Arabidopsis thaliana: one gene and its partners. Each later gene encodes a partner of the first gene's protein in a complex. Each region holds a gene or a part of one and is shown on either strand. Other genes may lie near its edges.

Region 1 (7,346 bases):
CCAAAACGCTTTGAATGAAGCTGGACTAGGAAGCTCCGTCAAAGCGACAGTCCCTTTAAACGCGGATGTCTACGATTCACCATCAAGCAACCCTGTGCCATCTGCAGGAAGATTCCGTCCTGATATCATCGGTCAAATGACTCAGATTGTTGACTTTCTTGGCAATAACAGTGCACCCATCACCATTAACATCTACCCTTTCTTAAGCCTCTATGGGAATGATGATTTTCCACTCAATTACGCCTTCTTTGATGGTGCTAAACCAGTAGATGACAATGGTATTGCTTACACAAACGTTTTCGATGCCAATTTCGACACTTTGGTATCGGCTTTGAAAGCTGTTGGTCATGGAGATATGCCAATCATCGTTGGAGAAGTCGGTTGGCCAACAGAGGGTGACAAACACGCAAATAGTGGTAAGACATCTAACATTTTCCAGTTCTTTAGATGCAATGAAATGTTTTGAAAACGTATTTTTCGCAGGCAGTGCTTACAGATTCTACAACGGTCTTTTACCAAGGCTTGGGGAAAACAGAGGCACTCCACTGAGACCAACCTACATTGAGGTATACTTGTTTGGATTACTTGATGAGGATGCGAAAAGTATAGCACCGGGAGAGTTTGAACGCCACTGGGGAATATTCAAATTCGACGGGCAACCAAAGTTTCCTATAGATCTATCAGGTCAAGGACAGAACAAGTTGTTGATTGGTGCCGAGAACGTGACGTATCAACCTAAGAAGTGGTGTATGTTTAATACAGAAGCCAAAGATTTGACAAAACTCGCTGCTAACATAGATTACGCCTGCACTTTTTCGGATTGCACTGCGCTTGGTTACGGGTCTTCTTGCAATACTCTTGATGCAAATGGGAACGCTTCATATGCGTTTAACATGTATTTTCAAGTAAAGAACCAGGATGAGGATGCTTGTATCTTCCAAGGTTTGGCCACCATTACCACAAAGAATATATCTCAGGGACAATGCAATTTCCCTATTCAGATTGTTGCTTCCACAGCTTCTTCATTTTCTTCTTCTTTGGTTTTGTTGATCGCTGGAGTTTGGTTTCTCTTATCAGGAGTGATGTTTGAGGTTTAGATTAGTGATGTTTTTGAGGACTTATTTTTGTGGATATGGAAACTATATGTTTTGTCCATGTATTAAATTGCATAATATGGTAAAATTTTACTTGGAAGAGTGAGAATCATTTAGTTATGGATCCAAATATTTGATCAATGGTGGTCATAAGAAAACAGGACTCGCAAAAAATTGAAACTCTAACGGCAGTTAATGTACGTGATCAGACTAAACCGGTCCAATGTCATTTTAATGGTTCAAATTTGATAGCAACTACGGAACCACAAACCAATTACACTTAACCAAACAACTAATTGGTCTTTAGTCAGGAGCAAGATCCTAAGAAAAACAAAGAAAAGGTTTCTTAACCTCTGCAATAATCTGACTGACACATTTCGGTACCTCTTTAGGGTATCGAGCCAAATCAAGAAACTGTAAGGAGTTTTACAATGAACTGCTACGAAATGTGCAGAGATGGCTTCCAAATTGAGAGATGACATCAACAATACCTCCATAACCTCCCACAGCAACTACCTGCAAATACAAAAGAATTGGATCAACGGTTAAACATTGAGTTTCTAGTCCAGAAGGGGTAACATATTTGCAGAATATTAGCAGTAACATAGGAAATGGGAGAAAAGCAAACACATATATAGGAAATGGGGAGAAAAGAAGGGATTGGAAACATACTCCTGCTGGATGCAAGGAAATGGAAAATACTGAACAAGGAGCACAGTGAATTTGAGAAAGCAAAGCTCCATTTAAGTCGAAACGTCTTAGAAGTGGTTCTGCTCCTACAGTCAAAATCTGATAGTGCGATACTTGTTAAAGACAACATTTTTAAAAAGATGTTTAAACTTTAGCACAGGAATTAAAACTAGGTGTTGACCTCTGTTTCTAGTTTAGAAAAGTCAGTAATTTTTTTAATAAACTTCGTTGAAGAGGGATGATTCAAAGAGATACTACATAAACCTATTAAGCCTTGATAAACAAATAACACCCACGGCCTCCCAAGGCTTTAAATTACACTGCTTAAATTTCAATCTAATCTTGTTCTGCTTACTTGCTTTTCATCAAACATCACATCCTGTACATGTGCAGGGATGGGTATTGTTTGTACGCATTCTGAGGCGGGAAGATTCCATAAAGCTAAATTTTTGCCCTGTCCACAAACCTGAAAGAGGAGAAAATCATACCAATAACAGTAAATACATGTTCAGTATTTAAACTTCTAAGTGATTCTTCAGGAGAAAGGAACTATATTCTTAGGTTACTGGAGGCAACAATCCCTTCAAACAAATAGCAGGTTGCGAAAATGTTAGATTATCTAGTTGCTTAGTTCTTACCAACCAGCTTTCACTCCCATCAAGGGCCATAGAACTAACGCGAAGGCGGGACTTTTTATCCTGGGAACCAATTACTTTAACACATTTTCCCGTTTTGCAATCTGGTTGACAAAACAGAAAGAAGCCCTTGAGCGAACAAAGCTTAGTCTAGACAACTAAAGTAAACCACATGAACCAAAACATAACATAGTGGAAAGTTCTGTAATCACCAAAATGAATCATCATAGAGTTGTAAGAAGCAGCCAACAAAACTGAGGAGCATTGGATCTTAAGTACCAACATGAAGACTCAAATGATTTCAAAAGTTCTATAACCACGTATGACCTAATACTAGAAATTACAGCATAAAGAAATATGGTCGGGAGCATGTTACCCCAGATTCTCGCAGTCCCATCCTCTGAACCCGTCAATATCTGGAGAAAGAGACTACAATCAGACAAAAATCCAAATGTGGAACTCAGATTTGGATAGGTGCATTTCTAATATTTATGGTAACATCATTACCTGACTTGCAGAACTACGAGAAACTACAGTATGCAAATAGTCTGAATGACCTTTAAAGGTCATTTTAATCTTACCACTCTCCTGAAATTGTTGGATACACATAAATGATTTTAGAAAGTTAAGATATCTGGATTCACATAGGACATACATCTATCATGGTCAAATACATACCACGTCCCAACAATATGCGCAAGAATCACCAGCTGCTGTAAATACACTTCCTGACTATCAAAACGAAAGAAGTGAGAGAGGGTGAAACAGTTATCCTGTGAGACTGTCTAACCAAGCAATGAAATTTAAATACAATTCCAACCTGAGGATCAACAGACATGGCATTGATCTCAGGCATCGGTGAAAGCGCACCCCAAGGACCTCTATAAGAAAAAGAATGGTGATTATACACACAACTATTACGAACACTGACATTTGAACCCACAATTATAGCATTTTCAGTAACAGAGTTATCAAGTAGAATAAAAAATGAACAAAACTCATACTCACTTGTGTTGTGGATTAATCAGTTCAAGCAATGGCTTCAGATGATTCTCTGTAGATCATAAGAAAAACAACCACTAAGCTCCAAAAAGCATCATTCATATCAAAAACCACAAAAATGGCACACACACACCTTTCAAATGAAGAGACACATCTGATTCAGCAAATTCTCTCCATTTCCATCCCCTAACTCTACCATCATCACCACAACTACACATAACCAGATCAAAATTTCAAACTCTCAATTACAATTCATCAAAGACTCATCAATCAACAAAGAGAGATTTAAGTCTCTACCTAAGTAGCAAAGCATCTTCGTCTTCACCATAGAACTTAACATCATAAGCAGGACCTTCGTGTGCCCTAACCACTCTCTCAGGTTCAGCCACCATAACATCTTGACCTTTCGAGTAGCCAAAACTCGCCGATTGAGACACAAGCGAGTTCAGTGAATGGAAAGCTAAAGTTCCATCGCTGGAGGCTACAACAAATGCGTCTGGATTAGAGATTCTCGCCGGAGGAGCCCAGGCGGTTCTGAAGACGGTGCGTGTCTCTATCTCTCGCTCCTTCAAAATTGATTCTCTATACTCATCTTCATTCCAGTTTGTAGCGTCTCCGTACATGGTCCTCTGCTTCTTTGCAATTCCCGGTGATACTTGCGAAACGCCAGCGATATTACCACCAGTGGTTTAGTGCAATTGACGACTGAGAGAAAGCAATCCCTAAACCGGCCGATTTAGTAATTCTGTTAATTATATTTTACTAGCTTGTTTTTTTTTTGTCGATCAAATTACTAGCTTGCTTAAATAGACGAATTGAAGAAATAAATTTAATTTTGTATCGATAATATTTGAATTCTAAATAGTAATATATACATATTTTGTAATATTTAATTTAGTAATTTTATTTAAAAACAAAATTTTAATTTTATACATTTCATTTTAATAGAAAAATAGGTAAAAAAACTCTCACATTTTTTAAAAACATGAAAAAAAATCTTACCTTTTTAAAAATAGTAAATTAACACCTAGGATATCTTATTCAAACTAACATATCCTATGTTATTCAATTATGAATTTTTAAAAGTATCATGAAATCTAATGCTATTGAATTACTGATTTTAAAATCTCCTTAAAAATCTTCTGTTATTGAAAACATTTTAAAGATTGGATTTTAGTGACTTTAAGAGACTTAAGTGGATTTTCTTAGTTAAAAATATATAATTTTAAATCTCATGGTTTTAGGTGGAATTTGAGAGGATTTTACCATAAATCATAACAACCTCCTTAAATTCATCCAAATTCTTTAAAAAATCAAAATTATATAAAAACTCAAATAACTTAAAATATAAGATCGAATACACCTCCTTAGATTCTAGTGTTATTCAATTTTTGATGATTTTAATGCAAGTGTTATTCATTTTTCTGTCAAAACCAACATTTCATTCAAATCACCAAACCGAAAGTATCAAAGGATAAACCTCCAATGTAATTGAAAAACTCAATTAATTTTGAATGCAGTATGAGTAGAGAATTTCACTTCCTCCGCGGAGATCTGTCTATTCGTTTTAGAGATTCCATAGAATTCAAGATTCAGATGCTCTATTTCGTGTTTAATGTTAATAGCACAATATGATGAAGACAAATCAATTCAAAATTTTTTGTTCCACTTCTTTTGGTCTTCCGTCTCTTCAAATTTTGACCCATATATCTCCTCATCTATATCTACCAAGAAAAAATCATAAAGAAGACTCTGTGCGTTTTTGTTACAATTAAAATCTCCACCTTTCTTTTTGGCACTTCCAGCTTTCATAAATCTCACATCTAGGGCTACATAAATCTCATTCGCAAATACTGATTCGGAAAAAAAATTGAATTCATCCAAAACAAATGAAGCCGTCCTAGACCATCTGTAAGCATCAACTTCTTAGTACTATTCACTAGAGCATATTTGTCCTCACCCAAACATAAGTTTGCCAACTTCTCGGAGATAAAAACTGACATGCATCGTTTGCAACTCATCTCGAAAAGAATCTGGTAGATTAATCAACATGAGAGATTTTTTCGGTAGTGGTATTATGTAACCGCCATCATCAAAACCCAAGCTGGTAAGTACGTCTTCATCAGAAAATTCAGGGTCCATTAATTGTTCCTTTGTTGGTTTAGGTTTCTTATTCTTTGCTGGTGCGATCTTTGGACGATAAACATTTATTCTAATACGTTTTTTACCTCGACTTTTCTTCGTCATACCAGTATTCCAAACTGTGAAGTACATAATGGCTGTTAAAAGCTAGAAAAATTGCAGTATAGGTAATGACTAATGGACCATGTAGTTTATGGTCGGCTGATTGATGAATACACATGTAAATTTTGGTATGATTGAATAAACGTTGACGTTTCTAGAAACGTATTTAGGGGGACCGCTTATGTAGTGCTTGCGTGAGACACAAACACATATGAACAAGGGAATGTGGAAGGAGAATCAAATCAAATCAAATGCCAAAACAATATTAAAAACGTATTTCGAAGATGTTCATAATTCGTTGTCCTTGCATCTTTTGTCTTTATTTAATTAACTCCAAAACCTTTAGTAATATTCGCTTTTACTTCCATTTTAATATCAATTCCTCTAGCTTACGTTTCGGTTTTACATTCGCCCTTACAAAGATTACTTTTTATTCCTTTGGTTTTTGATTGGAGGATCAATGAATGTTCTAGCTAGAGATCTTAAGTTTGGGAATCTTTCACATAGATCTAGACCTATGTTATGTATACTTAATTGTTCAAGTGGTCGTTTACGCATGCAATGACCAAACAAATAGTTTATTTCGTTTTAAGTGGGATCTCTCACTCTCAAAATTTTGTTAAGAGTCCAATTTTATTGGTTTGTACGTATATTATAGACATGTGTTATGTATATATAATTGAAAAGAGAGAATCTTGTTGCTCAAATTGACAGGAAATAAGAGTTTAATCCGGCGGAATCTTTCTATAAATTAAACGTAGCTAGTGGTCAGTGGATGATGATGATGAAATCTATGCATGCATCATCATATATAGACCCTAGCAATCCTTATATATAGACCCTAAAATCAGACAAACTGTTTCATATCATATCATCATATCATATAGTAATTTTAGGGACCGAGGCTAATATAACATCAAAATCATATGCATGCAAGAAGATGAAGCAAGTCAACTAAAGGAGGTAAGGGAATAGCAATAACGAAGGCGACAGAAGAGAGTGAGCACACATGGCTCTTTTTCTAGCATGCTCATGCTCGAAAGCTCTGCGTGCTTACTCTCTTCTTGTCTCCTGCTCTCTCCCTCTCTACGTCTATTTATCTATCTATCTATGGACTATGTGTATATAAATTAAATATATTTTATATCCACATATATATATATATATGCATCATGCATGCATGGCAGCAAACGTCTCTGTGTATGGTTAGATAGATATGACCATATCTTGTCTATCCACCTTTTGTTTTCACTAATGTTTTACCTAACGACACACAAATATCATTTTCAATCTTTACAGTAAAATAGCGTAAGTCGCCATATCCGTTGTAAATTGCCAAATAGCCGTTGTAAAGCTCAGAGTCGTACGTTTTTTCTATCAAATTACAAACACTAATCACATCAATATATATAACATAATAAAGGCTACAAAATGATCTAATTTTTGTACAAATGATGAGCTTTGAGTTACAAAGAGGAGCAAGGCACTTTAACAAAGAAAAAAATTAAGGAGCAAGACATAAGGAAGGTTTATCATCATGAGAATGAGAAGATTTCACGCATGATCGCAAAGGAACAAAGCGTGCGTATCAAGTTGCGGATAAGGGTTTGATGCCGGTCATCGGATGACCTTTAGTATTTTAAAGAGCTACATAGAAGAATTGAGAAATAGTTACTGATTT
Region 2 (8,009 bases), on another chromosome or scaffold:
GATTCAGCCAAAAGCCATGGTTTCTGATTTTATGAACAATATGGTTCCAAGGAGTCATGATTCTTATTTGCATCAAAATGTGAATGGATCTATGTCAACATATCAACCACAACAATCTATCATGTCTATGCCAAATGGTTATTCTTATGGAAAACAAATCCGATTCTCAAATGGTTCCTTGGGATCTGGTAACCAAAGTCTCCAAGATACGAAGAGAAGCTTGGTCCCAAGTGTTGCGACAATTCCAAGTGAAGCCATAACATGTTCACCGGTTACCCCATTTCCAACATTAAATGGGAAACAAAAGATTAACGGTGAGTCTTCATTACTCTCACCATCTCCATACATTAGTAATGGTAGTACTAGTACAAGAGGTGGGAAGATTAATAGTGAAATTACCGCGGAAAAACAATTCGTTGACAAAAAGCTTAGGAGAAAGATTAAGAACCGAGAATCCGCAGCGAGATCACGGGCTCGAAAGCAAGTAAGAAAATGTTATATATATATATATATATTATCTATCCATCTTGATTGATTGTGTTTTATAAGTACCAAACTGCTCATTTTTGCTCTCTAGGCTCAAACTATGGAGGTTGAAGTTGAACTTGAAAACTTAAAGAAAGATTATGAAGAGCTACTAAAACAACATGTAGAGTTGCGGAAAAGACAAATGGAACCAGTAATCTATTTATTCCAATCTTATTTCCTCAACCGTACATCAATTAAAAACTTGAGAACCTTGTTCTAACTTTTTGTATATCTAAATAATACGTGAAGGGAATGATTAGCCTTCATGAACGACCGGAGAGAAAGCTGAGGAGAACGAAATCGGACATCAAGTGAATCAATGAAACCCGAGTTGGAGGATGATGATGAGTTTATTTTGTTCATCATGTTTTGTTTTCGTATATTTTTGACCAAATAAGCTATTTATTAGACATCTTATTCTTAAACCCATTTGATAATGTCCTAAAGATCGAATTCTCATGGTCTAGGGGAAAATCCAAAACTTATTTTTATTGGAGCCAGAAAATACTACTATTAAATATTATTATTTTGGCTTTAGAAAACAATGTCATACTAATCTCAACCATAAAACTATAAAATTATATTATAGGCTCAATAATTGCTGCTAAATTTTTTCACTATTGATTCATTTGCAATATACAAAAATAACTCCTATAATAAATCAAAAAAATTCAGTGTTGATTCATTTGCAACAAAACACGAAAAATTTCACTGTCTTTTGTGGTTGGCTTTGTTCTTCCTGGGACATGGGAGTGAATTTAGCAAATCGTGGTTCCTCTTAGGTCTTCGTTCATGCCTTTGATTTTGCTTTGTCTTTTTGATATGTAAAAATTTACGTTTGACAGTTTTCCTGTAATTTAGGGATTCGCTTCCTTCTTTTGGATTAAGTTTTTGGGATGTATTTATTTTCCGCCCGCTCTTGTAATTCAAACTTGCATATTTCCTTGGTAATTGTACTTAAATAAGATGACAAAAAAACTAAAAGTTAAAGTAAATCAAACTATATAATCACTTGAAAGTTATAAACTAATATCCAATTTGATTTGGTTTTGTTTTCTTCACTACCTCCAATTGCAGGAACAACATTTGTCAATGATTGCAGTAGCAACCTGTAATAACGGTTGTCTACGAGTTGATTCCTTTTTTTTTCTCCAAAACCTGTGACGAGCCCTTTTTCACTTTTCTAGTTTCCAAGCTACCCGCTAGGCTTTAATGCTTAAATCGAGACCAAAACAGAGCAGGCTAAAACGGATTGGACTTGAAACATTGCCAGGTTTAAAACAGACCAGGTCCTCACCCAACAAGTAGGCTGTTTCAATAACGGTTTATACGATAAAAAAATGTTACATGCAAAAACTTTTGCTTGTACCACCAGAGAAAGATAATATAGAGAAGTGAGTGGCGATGTAATCTCTAGCATGGATAACCCGATGCACATCCTCTGCCCTTCCATGAGATCATTTTCCGGTGATCTCTGCCTCTGAATGATCTCACAAGAAGCTTACCGTCAACAGGCTTGCACAAACCGACATCAACCACAGTTGTGGCTGTTCCTCTTTTGGAATCTGGAGATGGGTCATCCACGTAATAGTCGAACAACATTGCTAAGCATCTGATTTGATGAGATAGGAGATAGTTTTCTTGATCTGAAGGAATAATCTTCAACATATGAAGGTTCACCTGATACCGCCACGAAAAGGTTACAAAGGCGTTATCTTTGGTGTCATCGAGTAAAGATTAGTATATGTTACTGGGTTTGACACTTACTTCTGCTTCCATTGCTCGAAGTTCATTGTAATGGTCACTTTCATTTGTCCCATTTTCATTTCCTGATGAAGAAGATGCGTGGAGAGACAGAGAAAACAAAGGAGGTCGAAGAGGATACTCCATGCTAATTTGTACCTGCCAATACAACTCGATTTAACACTTAAGAAAGAAAAAGATATAGGGAAGATACCGTATTAGAAGATAGTGTTTTAGAAGTTACCATTGCTTCTAACTTCCACAACTTTCCGCCATCTGTTTTCCTGGAGAACACAAGCGCAAACTCTCTCGAACCATAATCCACCCATGAATTATCAGCTTTCTCAGGGCATAACTCTTCCACATGCGCCTCAGTTCTTCCGGTTGGCTCATCTATTTCACTATCATCGTCCAGAACAAGATCCAAATCATCTTCGTATTTCTTGAAACTTGGGGACTTTCCTTTGCTAATCGGAGAATCTAGATTCTTTGTCATCAAGGCCAACTGCCTTGACCGTGCTTGATTAGATACTTTCGATGGGGTATGATTGGAACTGGTTAACGAAGCAGCCGCCGTGACCAAAGAGGGAAGTTCTCCATCTTCCCGTATACTTTCAAAATCTTCTTTTCCAGAAATAGATCTTCCATCTACATCGATTTCCATAGGTTCTGGAACTTGTTCCACACTGTTCAGAGTCAGAGAGCATGACTTACTAGCTGAAGATTGTATATGTAACCAGGAATCCAAAGCACAGAGAACCTTATGCAGTGCCCAAGGAGCATCTTCGCAGTTCACCACTGGTAACTCATGTTTCATAAGCAAATCAAGCTGTTCCCTGTAGCCAGTAGAAGTTTCCAAAGTATTCAGCAAAAATAAACATATCAACAGAAATAATTACCTATAGAAGCTCTTATCACGAAGTTGACAATGCTACAGAGGGATTAAATTGACCGCCAAGTTATTGACAAACCCAAACTATTAAATGTACAAACCATATGCTGATTATCATGGTGGTCTACTAATTTTCTGGAATTCTTTGCATCGTGTTCTTTAATTAAGACGGAAAACATACAGAGTGGTGAACTCACGCAAGAGCCAGATGCGCTTTTTTCCGCAAGCGTATTCTTCGCAGAACTGTTTGCACTCTATGCTGCTGGCGATACAATGAAAGATCAGGCACAAACGTATCACTTTTAGCTGGGTCAGTGTTATGAGCTTCTTGGCCTAATAAAACCGGTGAAATATCAATTCCCGCCAAATGTTGTACCCATTTATAAGGCCTTGAAGTTCTGTTCTCATCAAACGTCTGACCATCACCAAGGATGAGCTTGGTTGACTGCATGGAAAACCGGCCATATAAAGAGAATTGAGTATGCATTTTTAAAAGTAAAGCCATCAAAAGTCACATGTAGAAGAAAACTGAAACACAGAAACAAAAAGTTACCTGATGAGGAGGCTCAAGTCCAGCGTCATCTGGAAACAAGTTACAAAATATGTTTTTTTCTGGTCCATCCTGAGAGCCTTCAGCGCCAACACATACAACATTCAACTTCAGCAAGTACTCAAACTTGAGAATGACAAGTTTCAAGGATTTTGTATCTGGTATCTCATCATCATATATGTGAAGGACAATTTTGAGAGGGTGGACTTGATATAATCCTGCCTTGTCAGAACCTTCTTTGCTAGTAAGTTTCTTGGGTCGTTTTCTTCTCCTTTGTCCATCATCATCGTCATCAGGTCCATCATCCTCCAACCTAGAACTCTCTGTATTACTCGACATACCTGAAAAACCAATACCAAATTAGCATTCTTTTCGTTTTAGTATTAGAAAACACAGTAAATTTTCAAAACAACTTACCTGAGTCCTTTCTGGATTGTTGTCTAGCATAAGCTTGAGCATCCTTAAGACTCCCAACTACCTCCAATTCAATACTCTCCTCAAAAGCTTCCTTTTGTGCCAAGAGCTGTGAGTATAGAACATAAAGCGGAGGAGGAAGCAGCTCAGCTAAATTATGCTGCTTCAGTTTCTTTGTGTGCTGTATACCCAAGTGGTTCTGTACTGGAAGCGATGCTTTCTTCAGAGACTTAAGGTGTAGAGGAAGACTCGACAAAAACTTCTTACGCTCCGCAATGGTTTCTAATAAACTCTTCTTCTGTTGCTCCAATCTCGCTCGATGCTTACACAATTCTTTCCTCTGAATCAAAAAACATAAAAAGGTAATGAAACATTATATCACGTTGAATGAATTTCAGAGATGGTGATGATTAACCAACCTGATGAAGCTCAAAATTGAGTCTCTTAGGCATCAAAACATGAGAACTATCACTTGAAAGCGATTGATCTTTGATAGCTTCAGGAGCATGACGAAAGAAGTCTTGTTCAGGAACAAGGTCAATATCAGGATACTTAGATTTGAAATCTCTACAAGCCTTGATAGCTTTAACGTAATGGCTCTTCTCATACATAAGATTATGCAATTGCAATGTCGTGAAATCAACAGGTGCCTTTGCTCTTTCCGTCTCCGCTTTCACTTTATCTTCCTCAGTCAAAATCGCCCGATTCGCCTGCGAAAAAAACCCTAATAAGTATCGTATAGCGAAAGAGGTGGAGGGAGAAGATTGGTAAGTACCTGACGAAGATTGACGAAGTTGAGGAACATTTGAGTGAGGAGTTCTCGAATCTCAGATTTGTGGTTTCCTTGTTTTTTCATGGAGAGCATCTTCGCGACGATTTCTTCTACGGAGGTTTTGCTCTCTCGAAGTAGCTCGAGTGGAGATTTTCCTGGCTCTCGGGGAGGTTGTATAGTCTCTATGGTAGTTACTTCCGGCGTCGGGAATTCGTCGGCAGTTACCATTCCTTCCTCTATTTCGCCGTCCTCCATTCTCGATTTCTCCAGTCAGGCTCGCTCCGGTACTTCTGACAGGATTTATGATTTTTCTCTTCTTCTTTTTTTTTGTTCTTTGTTTTTTTGTCAAACTATTTATGATTTTTATGTAAACTATATTTTGTTACAAATATTATATCTACTCCATGATGGGATGATAATTGCGTAAAAGAGATTATGTAACATTTTTTTTCAGAAAATTCTGTATAAAGACAAGAAAAAATTTGGTTTGATATCAAAAATATTATGTAAAAAACACCAAAAAGGAAACTACTTGATAATTTTGGTGAAGGAAGAGAGAGACATATCAGATATGTCGTGGTAGAACAGAGGTTTGATCAATCAAATAGCCTTCTATGGTACGGAAATTTTATTGAGTTGTAGCTAAGCCTTATAACTAGATTTACCACTTTGCGGATTTGGATTTGAGTTAATATTCTAAAAGTTATCTGTGTTTTCGTAAAGTCCTCTGTTTCAGACGTGATTTAGACCAGAGTGTATTAAACAAATTATCTCGAGTGCACCTGCGGTCAGATCATCACTAAACTTTGAGGTTAGCTTCAGGACATCTTGAGGGTTGAGTTTCAACGGTGGAGATTTGAATTGGACGGTTAGATTGCGATTCGTGACTCAATATTTGAGACCAATTGTTTGGGTTATTTTCAGATTTTTTCCAATTTAGGTTAAAGGTTGGTTTGCTGTTGTAGTTGGATGTATGGTGAGTTGAGATATTGTTGGTGAGTAGGAAGTTACTGCTCGTTGTGGGATTGTTGTTTTTGGTTTCAAAATCATTCTTGTTTCGAGGTGGGTATGTGACCATGAGATTATCTAAGCAATTGAGATTGTGTGATTTATTTGTTGTATGTATAGGCAGTATTTTTGGTACCATTATTCAATCCCCCGAGATGGTTGTGTCAATGGATGATTGTTCATTGGTTTGATTTATTTCATGATTTATTTGTTGATTGTTATATTGGTTTGCTTGTGTGTATAACTCGCAGGTAAGAGAATCGTTTCACTAAGTATTTATTGAAATATTTATGCATTTCTTTTCTTGATGCAGATAAAGATAAAGTGAGACGTAGAATCATTGCGAGAAAGAAAGGATGATCTAAGGCCAAAATAAGAAAATAACACCTACATCACCGAAACGAGACCCTAGAAAAGCTAAACACATCAACTTTTCAAAAGAATTTATGACTTCGTCAAAATTTAATCAAGATGCGAGTCAGGTAAGTCACCTAAAAGAGTAACATTGATGTACTCATTAGGGAAGTGAGCAGGTAATCCAGGAATCAACAATGCAACAACCCTAAAACACCTTAAGAACCATCCTTCTCTGAACTCTCCACCTTTCCAATAAGGCATGACGAAACTACGTATCAACTCCCACAGTGCATTCATTATCTTTGGTAAAACCCATACGAGATTAAAGTAGTTTTTGTTTGGTTCCTCTTCCTCTACCTGAACATAATACAAATTAAACAACAACAATGTAGATAGATATCATCAGTAGGGTAAGTGCGTAAGCGACATTAGACGGATGAGTGATTAAAGCAAAGAAACAAGATTGTCATATATATGCAACCAACCTTTCCTTTATAGAAACTGTCATAGTAAAGGCATGCCCCAAAGTGTTTAAACATGAGTGTTTTGTCGTCGAAAGGCAACCTAGGAACCATGTCGTTGCAATAAACATATCTTTCATACTTCACGTCAAACTTCTTTAGTGAATCTTTCATGAAATTTCCAAACTCCTCGTCGCCTACGCGTGGCTGTCCAAATGTGTAAACTCCTTCTAGTCTCTCTAGCATTTGCTCCTCATCATGCATCACCAAAACAGCCGTGAATAGGATCGCTAAAGCCCCACCTAGGCTATGTCCGGTCAATATAAATTTAGATGTCGGGTTTTGGTCGAGGATTTCTTTTAAGTGACGCCTAACAGTGTAGTATGCATATAGAGTTGTTGCGTTTTGGGTTTCGTCAAGGTTTACTTCTTTAGGCCATCCTTCTTTTTGAAGGCCCAAAGCTTTCATGAACCCGCCATGAATCTTTCCCACATTCTTAACCTCGTACCTATTTTGGAAATCAATACTAGTTTTATTAGGGGGGCTAAAGGATGAACTTAAAGAGTATAAAAACAAAAACCTAGACTGTTTGTGTGTGGAAATAAATTATAACAAAAGAAACTAAAATTACCAAGAGAGATCCAGGTCTGTACACCAATCATCGGCATCGAAAGGATCAGTGCCTCTGAAACTAACGATGATGAGGTTTGGATCTGTACTTGTGTCCTTTATAACAATCACCTCCGTTGATCTTTGTTTCTGGTAACCTAAAAACCAAGGAAGAAAAAATAAATTAATTTTTTTTGTTTATATAATATAAATAGAAAAATGAATTTGATCTTAAAACTGTATATGAAAAAAATGAAAAAAAAAACTGTATATGAAGTATTTTAGGAAAATTTAAATTCTAGAGAATTTGAGGTTATTGTCTCTAAAAATTTTAAATATTTTAGCACACATAGACAACTATTTAAAAGATACAAACATAAAATTTCTAGTCGTAATTTTATGTTTAATTTAGAGGCAAAAAGGTAAGAGAATTTAATCTTTTTATAAATTGATTTTTAGGAAAGACAATATATAAATTGAACTAAATATAAAGTTTTTTGGTCTATCATTGATTTGAGTATTATTATTGGAATCAAATTCTTTTTAGTTAAGAAAAATAATATATTGCACATTTCAGACAGTGTTTTCACGTGGTATTTGCCTTCTTCGGACCCATTAAGTTAATTATTCATCAATAATATAAAAAAAAAAGGGAATTAGTCTCACCATTCCAAC
Region 3 (8,751 bases), on another chromosome or scaffold:
TTCTTTTAAAGCAAAGTATTAGATTTGGGGATTTTTTACACACTAAAACTCAGAATTCAATCCCCACCGACACAAACTTTCACTGTACATGATGATAAAAGTAGGTAAGAATTATGGAATCGTGTACCCTAATTGATAAATTAACGATGAAATGTAAAACCCAGATCCAGAATAAGAAAAAGGCAAAACCTTTACACAGAGCAACGAAAATTTAACAATGTGTGCAAATCAAAACAGAGAGAAAGAAGTGAAAAAAGCTTCAATTTTGATATAAATTCTTACTCTGGCACTCTCGTCTGCATTAATCAACACGAACTCATTCCTATTGTGAGAACCAGCGATGAGCCGACCACCAGTATTCATAGTACCGACAAAACAGTAGACAGTATGTCAAATTCAGACACACACACGCAATCTCTAGCTTCCGAGGTCTGCAACCGGGTCAAGTCAACCCAACAGGTTGGTCGAGAGAGATCCAGTCGTTACAACTCCCATCAAAACATGCAATTACAAGCTTTGCAGAGAAGATTTCTCAGTTTCTTCTGAAGAAGTAATGAGGAAGATGGGTGAAAGGTTAGGTATTGGAGTGAATCCAACTGTTTTTCTCTGAAACTCCAAATGTACGCACACACACAAGTTCACAATCAATATAAAAGAAGAGATAGTGAAAGGTGAGCTGCAGCTAATTAAAGAGAGAGGGGCTAATGTAGAAGAAGAGGAGAAAGAAGAAGACGCGTAATGAAGAAGACGAAGAGAGAGAGACACAGACGGAAGATATTGAAGTACCTCCTCAAGTAATCAACTACCAAACCAAAGTAGAGAAAGAAAACCACACAAACTACCAACAAAAAAATAAAAAGAGATTTAGAAAATAAATAAAAGATAATAAATGAATTTAAAATGTGGGACCCAGTAAAAGTGTGTCGCTTGGCGCTCTCTGTCCTCCACTCCTATTTTGTCTTAACAGTTGGTAATTTCGTTAAATTCTTTATACAAAAAAAAAAAATACTGAGTACTTATAAAGTAGACACAAAAATTAAAATGTATAAATTGACTTTAAATTGACGTAAGAAAAATTAAATGAATAATTTTGACTCACTGAGTCTTTTTATCGGAAAAGGACGAAAATTTTATATAGATTTGGTAAACATTGGATCACCCTTTACATTTATTATTTCCCTCTATTTTGTTCTTCTGTCTCCTGAGTGATGACTATACTAATCACAATAAAAATAGATTCACAAAAATAAAAGCTATATATATAATGCTTAGAGGATGTTGAGCACATTGGTTTTGACTTTTAACTGTGTTTTATCAATGTACTTTATATTAACCTGAAATATAAAATTAGAAATGTTCAAGGAATAACTTTCTTTATTTCTTTCATTTGCCTTGATACAGACTTAAATTCTCTAATTCTATTCACTAGCTCTTGCGTAGATACAATTAAATTAGGCTCCACCCACACCATTATTTTTCCCATTTGTCTTTTCTCCTGTTTTGCATATACAAATTTAATGTACTGTTGACCACAAAATATTATGTACAAGTGGAAAACAATGTGCAAATTATTGAGACTATCATATCACATCATATTTATTTATATGCCATACATCCATATGTATACATTTGCCGACAATCTATATACCTATATATGTACACTATAAGTTAAGTCAAGAAAAACTAACGTATTTTTTAGACAATATTTGCGTAACACTAAAATCACAATATATGATGTTTTCAATGTTTTTAACCTGCTCTTAAATTTCAATAAAGTACTAATAAAGTTGTGAGTTCGTCTTCTTTATATATAAAAAAACATATGTAATTTTTAGTGTTAAGCTAATATATGCCTAAAGACGTAGTAGGTTTATAAAAATAAATATCTATGATTAGAATGCATTCTAGGTACTGTTTGTTTCCAAATCCTTTGGGCCACATGATCTGATAGAAAATTAGAAAAGTGTCGGTGCCACATGTATCTTTAGTTTCTTCCGGGAAAATGATGAAAAAGTAGCATGTTGTTGTTTTGGCAAAAACCTTTTGTATTACAATAATTAAATGACTTTGTTAATAAATCATGTTTAAACAAAAAATTAGTATATTCGGATTATGTTTAGATCGATCTACGGTTTTGTATTCAAACGATAAGTAACAAAAATAGGCAACTTTTCATTTGTCGTTGACAACACAAATCACTCGGTTGTCTCTTGGTCGATTCTTTATCGCATCGCTGTGCCAACATTGTTTAGTCTTTTTTTTGTTTCAATATGAGTCGACACTTTTTTTGTCATAACAGTGCGACGACTATAAGACAACTGTGATCTTATGTGACAGTGCATCAACAATTCAATAGTGAATTTGGGTAAATTTATAAGGTGATTTGATATGCATTGACAAGTGATAACGACTAAACAAAGTATATACATTTTCAATGATTGGAGGTAGTAATAATATAACCAAATAAGCCTACAATGAACTGGTATAGTTTCACGTATTATTGGATTTGGCATATGATGAAACCTTATTATTATATGGAGATCGGTGGTGTTTATGGACTTTAAAAATCGTGACACGACTTAAAAACCACTCATTTATATTCTAAATAAATATTGATGGCAAAACATAAAGTTTATGTTGATAGCTATAATAGTAACACTTTTAGCTTTTGGTTCCTCAAGTATTTGATTTTTTTGTTTGTTTGAGTGTATTTTTAGTGGATTGCAATTGAATCCAATGTTTATTAGCTGCGAATATGTGTCTAGTGTTACACTTAGACGATAAATTACGCAAAAGAACTTAATTGTATGATGATTTTGTTGAGTATATAGAAATGGAAAGACAGGTAATAAGCTAGCAGATTTGCACTCATACAAACATATTTAGAAAATACCTTTTAACATAATTTGTTAAACATCAATACTTTTGAACTTCATATCCAAAGGATTCCCCATTGAAGAAAGGGTCGACAAACTGAAAGCGTATTCATGAGACGGGCATAGGAGGATGATCAAGATCAGTGTCCATCAGACCAGCTTCTTCTGTCTCTCCGTCTTCGATTTGACCGGCCTCTTGACCGTTTTCTGTATCAGAACCACCGAGTCTTTGCTGTTCCTCAGGCGTAGGAGTGTCTGCAATAGCATCACTCTCCATCGTCTCTGCATCACCCCTTCCTCCTTCAGCTTCAGCTTCACTATTAGAAACACCAATCTGGTTTCCCTCTGTTTCATGAGATCCACCTTTGGTTTCTTCTTTCTTCGCTCGTTTGGCTTTTTCGTTTGGTTTAGCTTGGTATTTGGACCGGACCTCAGGCGGCAATAGTTCAACTGGGACAACTCCTTCGATTCCCATTTCAGTAAACTGTGAAAAAGAAAGAAAAAGGTTTTAAAAAGCAATCATATGAAGCATTGGGAAATCGAAATCGAAGAAAATTTTACCCTAGAAAATCCTTCAAGGTCTTGCCGAGCTGTAAACCGAAGACCTTTCCAGCAGTAAACCTATCAAAACAGTAACAATTATCTGCCTTAGACTGATTCAATTAAGCATCATAAAAAAAAAAGTTGTAAATCAGAGGAAAGTTATATACTCTGTTGTTTTTATGATGGTACTCATCTTCTATGCCAGCTGATGGATCCATCTGAGATTTTAACAAAACATCAGGTGTGCTAATAAGACATCAACCATTTTTTTTAAGATGTCCTTTGGGAAAAATAAAGAAAACAGTATGTTAGCTCACATCTTCTGCTAATGGTTTCCAGTAGTCTGCAATATCAGGGGTTCGCACGCGTTGAGAATCAGTCAAAGCATTCTGTTATCCCATCAGATATACAATTATTGTAGAGTCGTAATATGAAGATTGAGCCGAGAGGAGAGCTGGAGAAGCATGTGGCATAATATGAACAACGAACAAGGATGCAAAGAAAAATAATGCATACCGGATTTTGATCTGCCCATCTCCAAAGTTGGGAGAGTTCTTTATTTCCCAATCTCCATCTTTGTCTCCTGTAAAAGCAAAAGATAACCCATATTGAGCCTAATACTCGTAATGCAGATTTATTAGTTGTTTCTCACTTTAATGGACTAGCGACCAGAGATCACTAGGGAAAAAACATCTTCTCAATTTCTTCCACGTAATGTATTCTAAATTCGAATGGCGGACACCATCTATGAGTACAAAGCAGTTAGATTACAAGGTCAGCTTTTCCCCATACCGTTTCTTTTGCCCTGCATTAGGTGATTTCTTATCTATCGGTTGCTTTTCAAATGGTGGACATCCATCACGTTTCCACCAGACCTGTTATTTGTGTATTGTAGAAGATCATTAACGGCCCTCAACTACAAGCCAGAAAATCATGCAGCAGGTAAGAGAGAAAGCAGCACACATACCCAATTCTTTTCGCGCTCCAGTATATGCTCAACTGCACGGAGGAATTCTTTCCCTTTAGGCGGAGTGATCTCAAGCAATTTCTTTACACGATCCTCACATGACTTAAGTTCTTCCTTCTAGACCGAAAAGATAAACAATACCTTTGAGTAATTATGCATAAAACCCTGAATACTGAGATATAACTAGGTTTGTGAACCTTTGAAAGAAAGCAAGAGGAATTTTCTCATTAAACAAGAAAAAACACTGACCATGGTTTCAGATGGCAGATCTTTGTCGTTCTTCCCTGGTGCCTAAACGGAAACAGGATTCAGTTATACCAGAATACCAGAGAGAGTAATTTCCGTGCAATAATTCTTGAGAGACATTTACCCTTAGATAATCAAACATAATGAGGCACTGGAGAAGAATATGTCGTCGGAAACTCGAATCCTTTAACTGTGGCGAAAGGTAGAAAAAAAAGTGAGTGAACTGCTAAGTTCAGAAGTGCGCATGTCCAACCACAGCATACTTACCTCTAAACCCATCAATTTACTACTTGTTAGGTACTTTATATTAAAAGTTGCTGCCTCTTCCTCCAAACTATTAGCCTCTCCCTCTTCTTCGCTTAGTGGTTGAGCATCAAAGGTGTTTAAAACAACCTACATAAGCAGTTCAAGAAACAAGGTCTAAGATGATTTCTCACTACCGCCAGCATGAATTTTCTATGCATATACATATATACAAGACCAGGTAATGCAATTTAGTCAAAAACCAAAGATCACATACCGCCAAACTGGATGAAAATTTCTGCCACTTGGTAGATGCGGAAGTAAGAGAAGCGGGATTACAGAAATACTCCTGGAAACGAAACAATTTTCTCAGTAAGAAAAGAACTATCTCAATAAACTAACTAACAAAAGGAAATTTGAGATGCTATCTCCAGTAATGTTGATTTTGCATGATATGCAAACAGAGGTTCTATGAGACAACCCTTATGATAAAGGCATAACATTCGTTCCCTACAAAGTTCCTTTAACTAATACGCACCTGTAAACTCCAAAATGTCTTGTAGAAGTTGAAATCTACAGAAATGCCTGAGAAGCAATGACATAGACAGAATAAGTAACACGTTTTAGAATTGTCATATGGAGATAAGGACCAAAAGCATAAGAAAAAAAAAAATCACTTGCCTTTTGGAGGATCTTTTTCATATTTGGTTTCATTAGATGTATTAAAAACACCTTTTATATTGACGGCTGAAAGAATAAGTCACGCAAGTAAACGTTACACACCTTTTAAACATTCACATACCAAATAATCGTATATGCACGAGAAACCCTTCTTACCTGAGCGCTCAGATAACGGAAAAAAGTGAGCCAAAAACATAAGAATCCTTCCACAGAATACAACATCATTGGCCTGTATGCCAAATAGTGAAAGCAAAAAAAAGAATTAAAAAAGAGTGGATGTGTTATATATGAAAAAGTAGATTATGACTTATGGATATTTGACAAAGGGAACTAGAAAAGGGTGCAGATAGCGAACCTTTGAGAGTCGGCGGAGAAGTTGGTTGCAAGTCCTCAACATGACAAGTTTTCCGCGTGCAAAAAGCTCTTGCTGCAAATAATTGCAACATCCAAGTCAAAATACAAGATACAACTAACCGAGAAAAAATTTGATTTCGTTTAAGAAATACCTTGCCCAATATATCTTGTTTGCTTTCAATATAACCGAAAACATCTTTACAGTTTTTCATAGTAGACATTTCGGTCAAATCCTCCAGCAGCTGGAATATCATGCCACCTTCTACATGCTCTTTCTCACAAAGATAAAGCACAACATCTAACAAAGCAATCAAAACATGAAGATGGTGAGAGGTTAGACAAAAGTAGTGAGGACAAGATGATAAGCAATAGACAACAAGAGAATAAGAAGTTTTACGGGGACAACGCTAGCACTTGTTTGAACGAACTATGCAAATCAGACTAGAGAGATTGCTAACCTAGAAGATGAGGAATCTGTCCATGTATATCATCATCATCATCATCATCGTCAATCAACTGACCATACTGCATAATTTGCTCCCCTGATTGCGCAGCAGCAGCCTGAAACCCCGAAAACAGAAAGAGAAATCCACACATATATAAATGAACAAGTATATACGCATACCACGAAAATATAATAGTGGAGAAAGAAGAGACCACTAGCTCCTGCAGCAATGTCCGGAGCATGTTTTCAAGCATTTGGTTTTCATCTTGAGCCAACTTTGTTTGTTTCTGTCAAATTTTACAATAAAGACAATAAGTAAGACTAAAGGAGTGAAGAAATTGTTAGTTGATTCGAAAGAGTTACCTGAGGTTGTATAAAGTGTTGAACAGTCTTGAGTGCAAAGGTTTCAATTGGAGCTCGCTGCAATATAGCATCTCTAAATGCATCCTGCGAAGAACCACAAATTGCAGAAAACAAGTTTTTATAAGCTATATAGATTTAACAAGAAGCAAAAGAAAACAAGTCTCATAATCCCAAAAGAGTTACCATTATTTCTCAATGAACCAGCTTCCACTGCAATGAAGAGGAATTTACCGACGACACCAAAACCGGATATGCCGGTCAAAATTCACGGACTATGAGTCGCCGGATTTTAAAAGTTGATTAAGAAGAATTGAATAAAAATCTGGAAACGGAGGCCAAACTTGAAGAAGAGTGGAGGAAGAACAATTTTAATTTAGGGTGGATCCGGATCCGGAAGATATCCTCCCAACAATCAAATTATCCGCAAATATCCGGGCTTGGATCTGGATCCGAAATATTTTTAATTTATAAACTGAATAACAACATGTTCATTGGGCCTTTCATAGTAAAATGATATCCGTTGGGTGGTGGGCTTCACATTATTTAGTTTTACAGAAGACCTTTGCCTGTATATGTTGGATATGGCGTAGTTTTAATGTGTGGAATCAAATCAATTAGAAATTTAAAACATCTGTATTCAAAAATTGCTCGAAATTGTTCATGGTATGTTATTGCAGAAGAAATCATAATAGCTCACATGAGAAGGATTTGAAGATTTCAAAAATTGCTCGAAATTGTTCGAGATAAATATTAGGTTCCAATAATTGCATAAAAGACATTGTATTCATAATCTACACTCAACAAGTGATAAATAAACATTACTTCCTAACAAAGTAAACTTTGATGGATCGAACACCTCCTTCAACACCTAAAAACTCGGATGTGATCTTCTCTTTGGGGGTTTTGATTGTACCGTCGACGTAAATTCACTAAACGATTAGTGAGTGGCAGTGGCTCATGAGATGAAAGTCATGAAACAAACACTTTGAGACCAAATGAAAATATTGATTTGACATATTGGGTCCACTTGCTATAGGGCCAAAAATTTAGAGGCCCAATAACCAAAAAAGTCGAAACATGTAAAATGTTTCTCGTCACTTGAAGAAAAACTAAAAAAAGTAAACGCCATTATTGAAAGAAAAACACTCACATCTCTCTCTCTCTCTCTCTAGAGCTGTTCATCTCCCCAACCACAACAAACCAACTTGCTTAGCTTTGCTCTGTCCAGGGCAAAGAGCATCATCCCTCAATAAAGCAATTCCCATTTTCTTCTTTTACTTTTGTCCTAAAACTGTTAATTGATTCTGTCTGAATATTATTTTTATTAACGGACCAAACAAAAAAAAACTTGCAGAAGAATGAAAGAAAAAGCAATAACCCTCCAAACCAAATTCTAAAGCCTCAAATTTGGAATATTCCCTTTCTTCTTCATTCCCTTTTTTTTTTTTAATTTGCCATTTACTCATTATTGATCTTATGTGAGACGACCTCCTCTGTTTCTTTCTTCCTCGTAACAGTAAAGGGTCTTCCTTTTTAATCTGAATTTACCAATCTGATTCTTCTGTTTTTTGTTTTTTTTATTTGTCTATCTTTTAAACTATTTGAAATCTAAACTTTGTTTGGTTCTTCACGATTTTTAATCTCCGATGAATCAAATTCATCAAAAGATTCATCTTTTAGATCTGGTTACGTAATTCGATTTGCTCTGTTTTTTGTTTTTCGTTTTGAATTCTTTATTAAGTAACCAAATTTGGGGAAGAAGGAGGAGTGTGGGTGATAATGGATTTGGATGATTTCCGATCGGTTATGGATAACGCAGGTGTTGATGTTTGGACATTTATCGATACGGCGATTCTTGTTGCGTCTCTTGACTATGGTCAAGAACTGAAACGTCGGAGAGATAACATCGTCGAGCGTCTCTACGCTACGTCGATGGCTAACAAGTGTAGAAACTGCGATTTTGGCGGCGGTGGTAACGTTACGGAGGCGGCGATTGGTAGGGTTAATAATGGGAGGGTTCACGAGGAGACGGA
Region 4 (7,117 bases), on another chromosome or scaffold:
GTTGTTTCTTGTACATATCATGGGTTTCCTCCTATAAAACAGAAACCGAGTGTGAAAACTTTGTAACAATAACTGGTTTAAAATCAAAGGGAGGGGGAGAGCTAAAAACAAACCATAGGAGTAAGAAGATCGTCAAGTATTTCCCGAGCTTGCATGAGCCGTGCATCGACTATTTCAATCGGTAATTCTGCTTCCACTAAGATATGAAGTGGTTCATTTAGGTGCTCGTATCCCGGTTTTCCTCTCATCATTTCCTCCTACAAGAAGAAATATATTAACACCTTGTACAAACATTGAAATGTAGATACAAATGAAGTTGTAAAGTTTAATAATAAATACCTTAATTGGATCTTTTATACTTCCTCTTCCTCTTATAAGAACACGGCAATCAGTACTTGCTTCAACTCGCTTCAGGGAGTTTCCTCTAGGACCCAGGAGGCGACCAACAAAATTGAACTGCCATATAGAAAATTAAGGAGTTACATTCCAACCAGGAAGTAGTATATCTCAGTGTAGAAATGAAAGTTCATACATTCGGATAATTGTCGACTGGAATATCGACCCTGATTGTACGCTTGGCGATGAGACCGGACGAACTACCAGGTGAGTTAAGCCAATTTGGTCCCGGAGATGATGGAACAGATCTCTGCAAATGATCAACCAACAAAATTAGAAGCAAGATCAACCTTTAAGCATAAGCACATGAATACTGCAACTTCTTGCCCTGGAACTTCATTCAATGAGAGTGGTCACTGTATCAAGGCATTTCAACCTGTAGCTGTTATATCCTAATAATATGCATACAGTGACCACAGATATATGAGAAAATTATAGCATTAATTTCAATCCTACTCGTGAGGATAGTGGAGTATCTAATTAGTGTTGATCTAAGGTATGAACATACAAACATTACGGATATGAAGTGTTAGCCTACCTGTCATGATAAACTAGGACTAAAAGCAGTCAAATATGTTATGTCAGTATTATAACTTAAGTCAATAAAACTTCTATTGCAGTAGTATGAATTAGAGAGTTATGTTAATGGTTAGTAGTCATACTTCTGATGGAAACTGGGAGGCCCATCCATTCATGTCAGCTCTTGCATTCTGAAATATCCCTCCAGAAGCCAGAGGGCTAGGGTGGTCAAGCCCACTCTGACTTAAAACTGTAGCATTCTCCAACAGTGTGGTTACACGCAAAATTTCTGTTCCAAAAATGTCAATTTGCAAGAGTAAGACGCACCAGTTAGAATTAGTCAACAAATCAGTCACCAAGACACCAATGAATGGAGAGACAGCATAGTTAATTGAGTTAGCTTAAAATATATTTTTGCTCTCACTCTAGTTAAATACACTCTGGTTAAATAGAATGAAGTCAGTATAAGAAATATAGAATTAGTCATTTCGTGATCTACTTCTAATAGCTAACAATTAGGTCTCTCTTAGCAGTACTGTTTAAGAGTTTATCAACTGTATTATAGCTTCATGAATCTGAAGCAAAGAATGAAGTATTATGTGAGATGAAAATACAAATAATAAACAACAAAAACAGTAATGCTCACCTTGGTTTAGTAGCCGAAATGCATGTGGAAGCACAGGCAGGAATGGAGTAAGCTTATGACGCTCTGCAAGTAACTCTGAAAGATACCTGCCAAAACAGAAATTGTGCAGAGTATCCAAATTAGTAAAAAAGCCTCAAAGACACATCAAACTTACAAACAGATACACTCAAATTCACTCTAAATCGATACAACCAGATTCAAATTTCCATTCTTTTGTGAAGTGGATCTAGTCAATCTTCCAAAAATCGTATTTTTTTTAACAGTTTCATCAGCCAAGAACAGAAATCAACAATAACAGAAACGAACACAACCAATGAAATGATCCTCACACACTAAAGACTTATGCTTTACAAAAAATGAACTGGATTGAGACAAATCTGAAATAGACTGAGCTAGTTCCGAAACATAGATCCTAATATAATCAAAAGAAAACAAAAAAGACAAAAATCCAGATTCGAGATACACTATTAAGATCTAAAAATCAAAATCAGCAAAGCAAAGATCAACATACTTCATCAGATACATCAGCTAATTATAAAAGATCACCAAACAATAAAAAACAAAAATATAAAAGAAGATGAAAAACTAAGATTCGATTACTTCTCTTGCTCAACGAAGACAGAAGACTGTGATCGGAGACCACCGGAGTAATTAGGAGACTGAGGAGCAGAAGGAGGCACCGAAAGAGACGACGAATACGTCATAAACCTCCCTCCGCCGCCACCACCAATACCACCACCACTTCCTCCTCCTCCACCACCACCACCACCAAGCGACGACATCATCATCATCTCGAAGACAACAGAATCAGAGTAAATCTGTCGGAGATTAGAAGAAGAAGAAGAAGCGGCGGAGGCAGAACCAAAGCTGTTGTTGTCTCTCTATAACGTCGGTGGATTTAAGAGGTCATTTTATAGAGACTGTGAAATGATTACTTGTTGTTTGCTTAGCTGTTTTTTTTTTCACCTTTTTTCTTTGTTTCATATTTTACCCAATTTTACCGCTCTTCTTGTTAGTTTCTCTCTGAAGACTCTTAACCATCTAGAAGGTTTTTTACATCCGGTTTACTAAAATTCGATTCGGTTTATCTATACCGGAATGACTAAACGCTGCGTTTCAGGAAGCGAAGCTCTGATATTCAGTAGGCCGCGAAGGAAGGTTGAAGAAGAAGAGTTGAGAATTAAAAAATGGAGGAGACGACGATTCCTTTCAAGAGCTTACATAGCAGAGAATATCAAGGTCATAAGAAGAAGGTTTTTTTTTTCTATCTCCAGTCTAATTTTCTGTACTCAATAAAACTTGCGAAACCCTAGTTTTTTGCTGAATCTGGGGGAATTTTTGGATTGAAGGTACATTCAGTAGCTTGGAATTCGAATGGAACAAAGCTTGCTTCGGGTTCTGTTGATCAAACGGCTCGCATTTGGAATATCGAACCACACGGTCATGTAATTTCTTTACCTTTTTGAGCTATGGGAACTTCTATGTGTTTTTGATGATGATGAATACATATGGAGAAGTATTGTAGATTGAGTTAAAACTCGATTATTATCTTTGTCATTGTTACTTTTTGAGTTATGTAGTTTTTGTAATTTGGTTGTTTGTGTGGTGTGTGGATACAGAGCAAGGCTAAGGACCTTGAGCTAAAGGGTCATACTGATAGTGTGGATCAGCTATGTTGGGATCCCAAACATTCAGATCTTGTTGCTACTGCCTCTGGTGATAAAAGCGTTCGTCTTTGGGATGCTCGCAGTAAGTTATATTCTTTTAATCGTTTAGTTTTGCTCCTGAAATATGCCTGGAGCTTGGTTTAGAAATCTGTATATTTTCTAATGGATTAGCTATGTGTCATTCACAAATATTTCTCGCAATCTTGGCCTTTGCTTTTGAGTCATATCGCGGAGACTATTGATTGATGAGGATCGGATCTAAGTTTCTTAGAATTATAAATTAGTTATTTAGCCAGATTCCATAAGAGAGGAATTTGATCAGGTTTTTGATATGTGGCTACTATTGTATGTTTTACTATCAATTGCTGAGATATGTCTTCTTCGAGTTCTACAGGTGGAAAATGCACACAGCAGGTAGAACTTAGTGGAGAGAATATAAACATCACCTACAAACCTGACGGGACACATGTAGCTGTTGGTAATAGGGTATTGTCTCGAGCCCCATATCTTTACACTTTCATTGTTCTTACTGTCTATGGATTACTTGATAGATCCCTTTTCATAGTCGTTGTCCTTTCTCTTACTGGCCAATGTAGGATGATGAGCTTACAATTCTGGATGTCCGTAAGTTTAAACCTCTACACAGGCGCAAATTCAATTATGAGGTAACGTAAGCTCAGACTCATGTTAATCTTTATTAATGGCTTTTTTTTTATAAGGCTCTTCCGTATCTCCTGTTTCAAGCTCATGCGGTTATATGTCACCTAAGTTCCTTGTTCATGTAATAATCGTCAAGTAATTTTCTGGTGCCGTATGGAATGTTCTCTTATCTTTTGTCTTCTTGTAACAGGTTAATGAGATTGCTTGGAACATGCCTGGAGATTTTTTCTTCTTGACTACTGGACTTGGTGAGGATTTTAAATTCTGTACTTTCCTGCACACGATTCCCTACCAAAGATTTCTTTGTTTTTGAACTTGAGAAAATGATCTTACTGAAAGTTACTTTGTATGTTGTCCTGCTCAGGCACTGTTGAAGTTCTTTCATATCCATCTCTTAAACCACTTGACACTCTCACAGCCCACACAGCCGGGTGTTATTGTATTGCAATTGATCCTAAAGGGAGGTAATATATATTTACATTTGTGGGCTGGCCTCTGAGACACGAATGATAATCTTTTTGCTTTTGCATCTAATTCTTCCTCTTTACCTTAACAGATATTTTGCTGTCGGGAGTGCGGATTCCTTAGTAAGCCTTTGGGATATCTCAGACATGCTTTGTTTGAGAACATTTACCAAACTTGAGTGAGTATCAACATGAATTTTCCATAGAGTAGAAAAAGGTTTAATTTCTGTTACATGTTAGTAATTTATAACTATTTCTCACAGGTGGCCAGTCAGAACAATAAGCTTCAACTATTCGGGAGAGTATATTGCTTCAGCCAGTGAAGATTTATTCATTGATATTGTAAGTGATTGCCCAGACTTAAACACTGCTAATTTCAATGTAGTTTCCTCAATATGAGATTAGTTCCTCGTATCTGACCACTAACTACCAAACAGGCTAATGTCCAAACCGGGCGGACGGTGCATCAGATTCCATGTCGGGCAGCCATGAACAGTGTTGAGTGGAATCCCAAATACAATTTACTTGCATATGCAGGTGATGACAAGAATCCCAAGTATAATACTGATGAAGGTACTACCGCGTATTAGTACTTCATTGTTAGCAACAACTCAAAACTCTAATATTGGTAGCAGAAAATGAACAATGACAACAACTTGGATCTCTTTGCAGGTGTTTTCCGGATATTTGGTTTTGAGAGCTCGTAGGAACAGAGCACTGAATCGGGAAACATGATACACAACTCCACTTGATTGTTCCTTGTTGAGTTAGAAAAAGTTTATGTGCCTAGTGTACCTAAATATGTATTGTCAGTATATCAAGTTGGAATAATCTTACAGTATCACTAAATACATTGAAAGTTTGCAGTTCTGAATCTGGCATTTTATTTATTGCAAAAATTTGTTACTATACAAGCAATGTTGTTTATTATTAACGAAGAATGAAATTAATAAGATCAAGATCAGAATTCTAATCCCGAATTACATCAATTTTCTACTATGTGTGAGTACTGCTAAAAGTTACAGGTTGTTCTTATTCCCTCCGGCGAATCTTCAGTCTGGGAGATTTGACAGCTACTCTCTCAAAGCTAGAACAGAGGCCAATGGTAAGATCGGACCAAAAGCATCATCCCCACAATGAAGGTTGAAGAAAGAATGCAGAGTCCTGAGAAAGAAAACACATTTATTACTGAGAGTCCAATTTTGGATTAAAGAACAAGAAGAGCACACGATTTGCTTACCGAACAAACAGTGAATAGGAAGAGTTTGTCAAAATCCGCAGAGGATGAACTTTGAGACCGGGAAGAACAACCCTGCAGAGCAAAGAAGAACAATAGTTATCAAATACTGAGAGAACCAAGTAACAGGTTTCCACTTGATCTCAACGCTTGAACTCTTCATCCTCTTCCCACTCATCGGCTCTTTCGACAAATCAAAGCTCGACCCTTTCATCCTCAACTCCAAAACACACCGTGTAAGCGTTCTATTATCATTCCTCTCCCTATTAACACCTCTGTAAACTTTCCAGAACACAAACAGCTTAGCTTGAACAAGAAACACCAGAACCAATGAAGTAGCTAATGACACTGCAGAAGGTATCCACCATTTCTTGCAAACCGCATTACTTTTCACCACGTCAGCATCATCAGAACAAGAAGAAGAGTAGACAAGTGTGAAGAAGAACCCATGGAAGACTAGGAAGAAACAACAAAGCTGAAAGATCTCTCTTTTGATTGACTCTAGTCTTGATTCTTTAAGAAGAACACGACGACAGAACAAATCTTCTTCTCTTTGCCATAACTTCAAAAGCAACAAATGTCCTGGACTCTCTGAGATTTCAGACAACGGATGCTGCTGAATCACTTTGAGTATTCCCATTCCCGGATTTGAGACCGCAACCAACTGTTGTTGTTGTTGTCTCTCTTTATGCTCTTCATCTACTGGAATCTCCACTACATGAGAATCTTTAGTTCCGGCCATAGAGAAAAAAAAGATTGAGACTTTATGAAGAAACAGAGATCGGAATAGGAAAGCAATTAGAGAGTAAGATGAAGATTGAAGATTTGAGTTCGTTGTGTTTTTTTAGTAAGAATTCCTTTTCTTTCACAAAATTTCAGGTATTTAAATTGTTGTTCTTTAACGGCTATATGTACAACGGTCGGATTGTTTTCTTTTTACGTTATGTTGTTACTGCTGCGATAACATAGTAAGAGACCTTTTCTCACTTTAACGGCTATATTTTCTCCTCCAAAACGCATATAGCCAATATTTGGGCCTTTAATGGGCCGAATGATATGCAATGTGCTTTATAGTTTAACTAGGCCCTATGATTCCATTTTTTTTCTTTTCTTTTCTAAAGTATATGATTCCATTGTTTGCTTTTGTTCCACCACAATTTATAACAAGTGATATATTTATGAATTTTTCTATTACTAAAATAATAGAATAAAGTAACAAATAAGATTCTGTTTTTAATTACTTTCAAAACACATACGCAAGTTATTGGAAATGACATTTTTGGGATTTTGTAGACTTCAACGCAGAAGCCAACATCAAAGGTTTGTAATTTTGTATGTCTGTTATCTATTTATTATACTCAAGATGAAAATAATAAAAACTCTTTATTTACATTTCTTCATTTATTAAAATGCTTTACAAAGCAAAACTTATTAATCTCTGTAAAAACAGAAAGCACCTAATTAATCATACCCAATGTTTAACTACCAATGTGATCGAAAATGAAAATCCAAACAATGAAATCTTAAA

What was found.
Region 2: DWA1 (region 1) and THO5 share a complex: the UniProt entries of both Arabidopsis thaliana proteins name them as parts of the THO complex.
Region 3: DWA1 (region 1) and THO1 share a complex: the UniProt entries of both Arabidopsis thaliana proteins name them as parts of the THO complex.
Region 4: DWA1 (region 1) and TEX1 share a complex: the UniProt entries of both Arabidopsis thaliana proteins name them as parts of the THO complex.

What each region holds. Positions count from the first base shown.
Region 1 is NC_003071.7:8,411,915-8,419,260, reverse strand, and holds DWA1 (DWD (DDB1-binding WD40 protein) hypersensitive to ABA 1), read right to left. Parts: upstream 4,216-7,346; 5' UTR 4,045-4,215; coding exon 3,719-4,044; intron 3,632-3,718; coding exon 3,555-3,631; intron 3,474-3,554; coding exon 3,428-3,473; intron 3,301-3,427; coding exon 3,240-3,300; intron 3,152-3,239; coding exon 3,098-3,151; intron 3,008-3,097; coding exon 2,927-3,007; intron 2,836-2,926; coding exon 2,796-2,835; intron 2,524-2,795; coding exon 2,423-2,523; intron 2,251-2,422; coding exon 2,140-2,250; intron 1,884-2,139; coding exon 1,767-1,883; intron 1,611-1,766; coding exon 1,521-1,610; 3' UTR 1,267-1,520; downstream 1-1,266. Other genes in the region: AT2G19440 (O-Glycosyl hydrolases family 17 protein), read left to right, coding at 1-416, 484-1,097; AT2G19420 (uncharacterized protein), read right to left, coding at 5,378-5,682, 6,929-7,039. UniProt on the Arabidopsis thaliana protein: Acts as a component of the THO subcomplex of the TREX complex which is thought to couple mRNA transcription, processing and nuclear export.
Region 2 is NC_003076.8:17,204,369-17,212,377, forward strand, and holds THO5 (THO complex, subunit 5), read right to left. Parts: upstream 5,283-8,009; 5' UTR 5,155-5,282; coding exon 4,903-5,154; exon of another isoform or gene 4,838-4,902; coding exon 4,547-4,837; intron 4,468-4,546; coding exon 4,131-4,467; intron 4,055-4,130; coding exon 3,717-4,054; intron 3,609-3,716; coding exon 3,361-3,608; intron 3,108-3,360; coding exon 2,516-3,107; intron 2,431-2,515; coding exon 2,296-2,430; intron 2,209-2,295; coding exon 1,942-2,208; 3' UTR 1,603-1,941; downstream 1-1,602. Other genes in the region: AT5G42910 (Basic-leucine zipper (bZIP) transcription factor family protein), read left to right, coding at 1-484, 578-679, 778-843; AT5G42930 (alpha/beta-Hydrolases superfamily protein), read right to left, coding at 6,370-6,621, 6,750-7,233, 7,357-7,492, 8,001-8,009. UniProt on the Arabidopsis thaliana protein: Acts as a component of the THO subcomplex of the TREX complex which is thought to couple mRNA transcription, processing and nuclear export.
Region 3 is NC_003076.8:3,064,968-3,073,718, reverse strand, and holds THO1 (nuclear matrix protein-like protein), read right to left. Parts: upstream 7,142-8,751; 5' UTR 6,905-7,141; coding exon 6,902-6,904; intron 6,803-6,901; coding exon 6,719-6,802; intron 6,643-6,718; coding exon 6,568-6,642; intron 6,472-6,567; coding exon 6,369-6,471; intron 6,209-6,368; coding exon 6,063-6,208; intron 5,984-6,062; coding exon 5,912-5,983; intron 5,786-5,911; coding exon 5,713-5,785; intron 5,623-5,712; coding exon 5,557-5,622; intron 5,461-5,556; coding exon 5,414-5,460; intron 5,225-5,413; coding exon 5,153-5,224; intron 5,026-5,152; coding exon 4,900-5,025; intron 4,823-4,899; coding exon 4,757-4,822; intron 4,678-4,756; coding exon 4,636-4,677; intron 4,504-4,635; coding exon 4,387-4,503; intron 4,295-4,386; coding exon 4,212-4,294; intron 4,003-4,211; coding exon 3,936-4,002; intron 3,809-3,935; coding exon 3,737-3,808; intron 3,638-3,736; coding exon 3,587-3,637; intron 3,498-3,586; coding exon 3,438-3,497; intron 3,361-3,437; and 3 more. Other genes in the region: CESA5 (cellulose synthase 5), read right to left, coding at 283-363; AT5G09850 (Transcription elongation factor (TFIIS) family protein), read left to right, coding at 8,498-8,751. UniProt on the Arabidopsis thaliana protein: Acts as a component of the THO subcomplex of the TREX complex which is thought to couple mRNA transcription, processing and nuclear export. Contributes to the integrity of the endogenous trans-acting small interfering RNA (ta-siRNA) pathway.
Region 4 is NC_003076.8:22,720,697-22,727,813, reverse strand, and holds TEX1 (Transducin/WD40 repeat-like superfamily protein), read left to right. Parts: upstream 1-2,714; 5' UTR 2,715-2,748; coding exon 2,749-2,814; intron 2,815-2,910; coding exon 2,911-3,006; intron 3,007-3,180; coding exon 3,181-3,310; intron 3,311-3,622; coding exon 3,623-3,714; intron 3,715-3,824; coding exon 3,825-3,893; intron 3,894-4,078; coding exon 4,079-4,136; intron 4,137-4,252; coding exon 4,253-4,352; intron 4,353-4,444; coding exon 4,445-4,531; intron 4,532-4,615; coding exon 4,616-4,694; intron 4,695-4,789; coding exon 4,790-4,925; intron 4,926-5,024; coding exon 5,025-5,059; 3' UTR 5,060-5,332; downstream 5,333-7,117. Other genes in the region: AT5G56140 (RNA-binding KH domain-containing protein), read right to left, coding at 1-31, 114-257, 340-456, 533-646, 1,059-1,204, 1,562-1,647, 2,162-2,352; AT5G56120 (RNA polymerase II elongation factor), read right to left, coding at 5,621-6,331. UniProt on the Arabidopsis thaliana protein: Acts as a component of the THO subcomplex of the TREX complex which is thought to couple mRNA transcription, processing and nuclear export. Contributes to the integrity of the endogenous trans-acting small interfering RNA (ta-siRNA) pathway.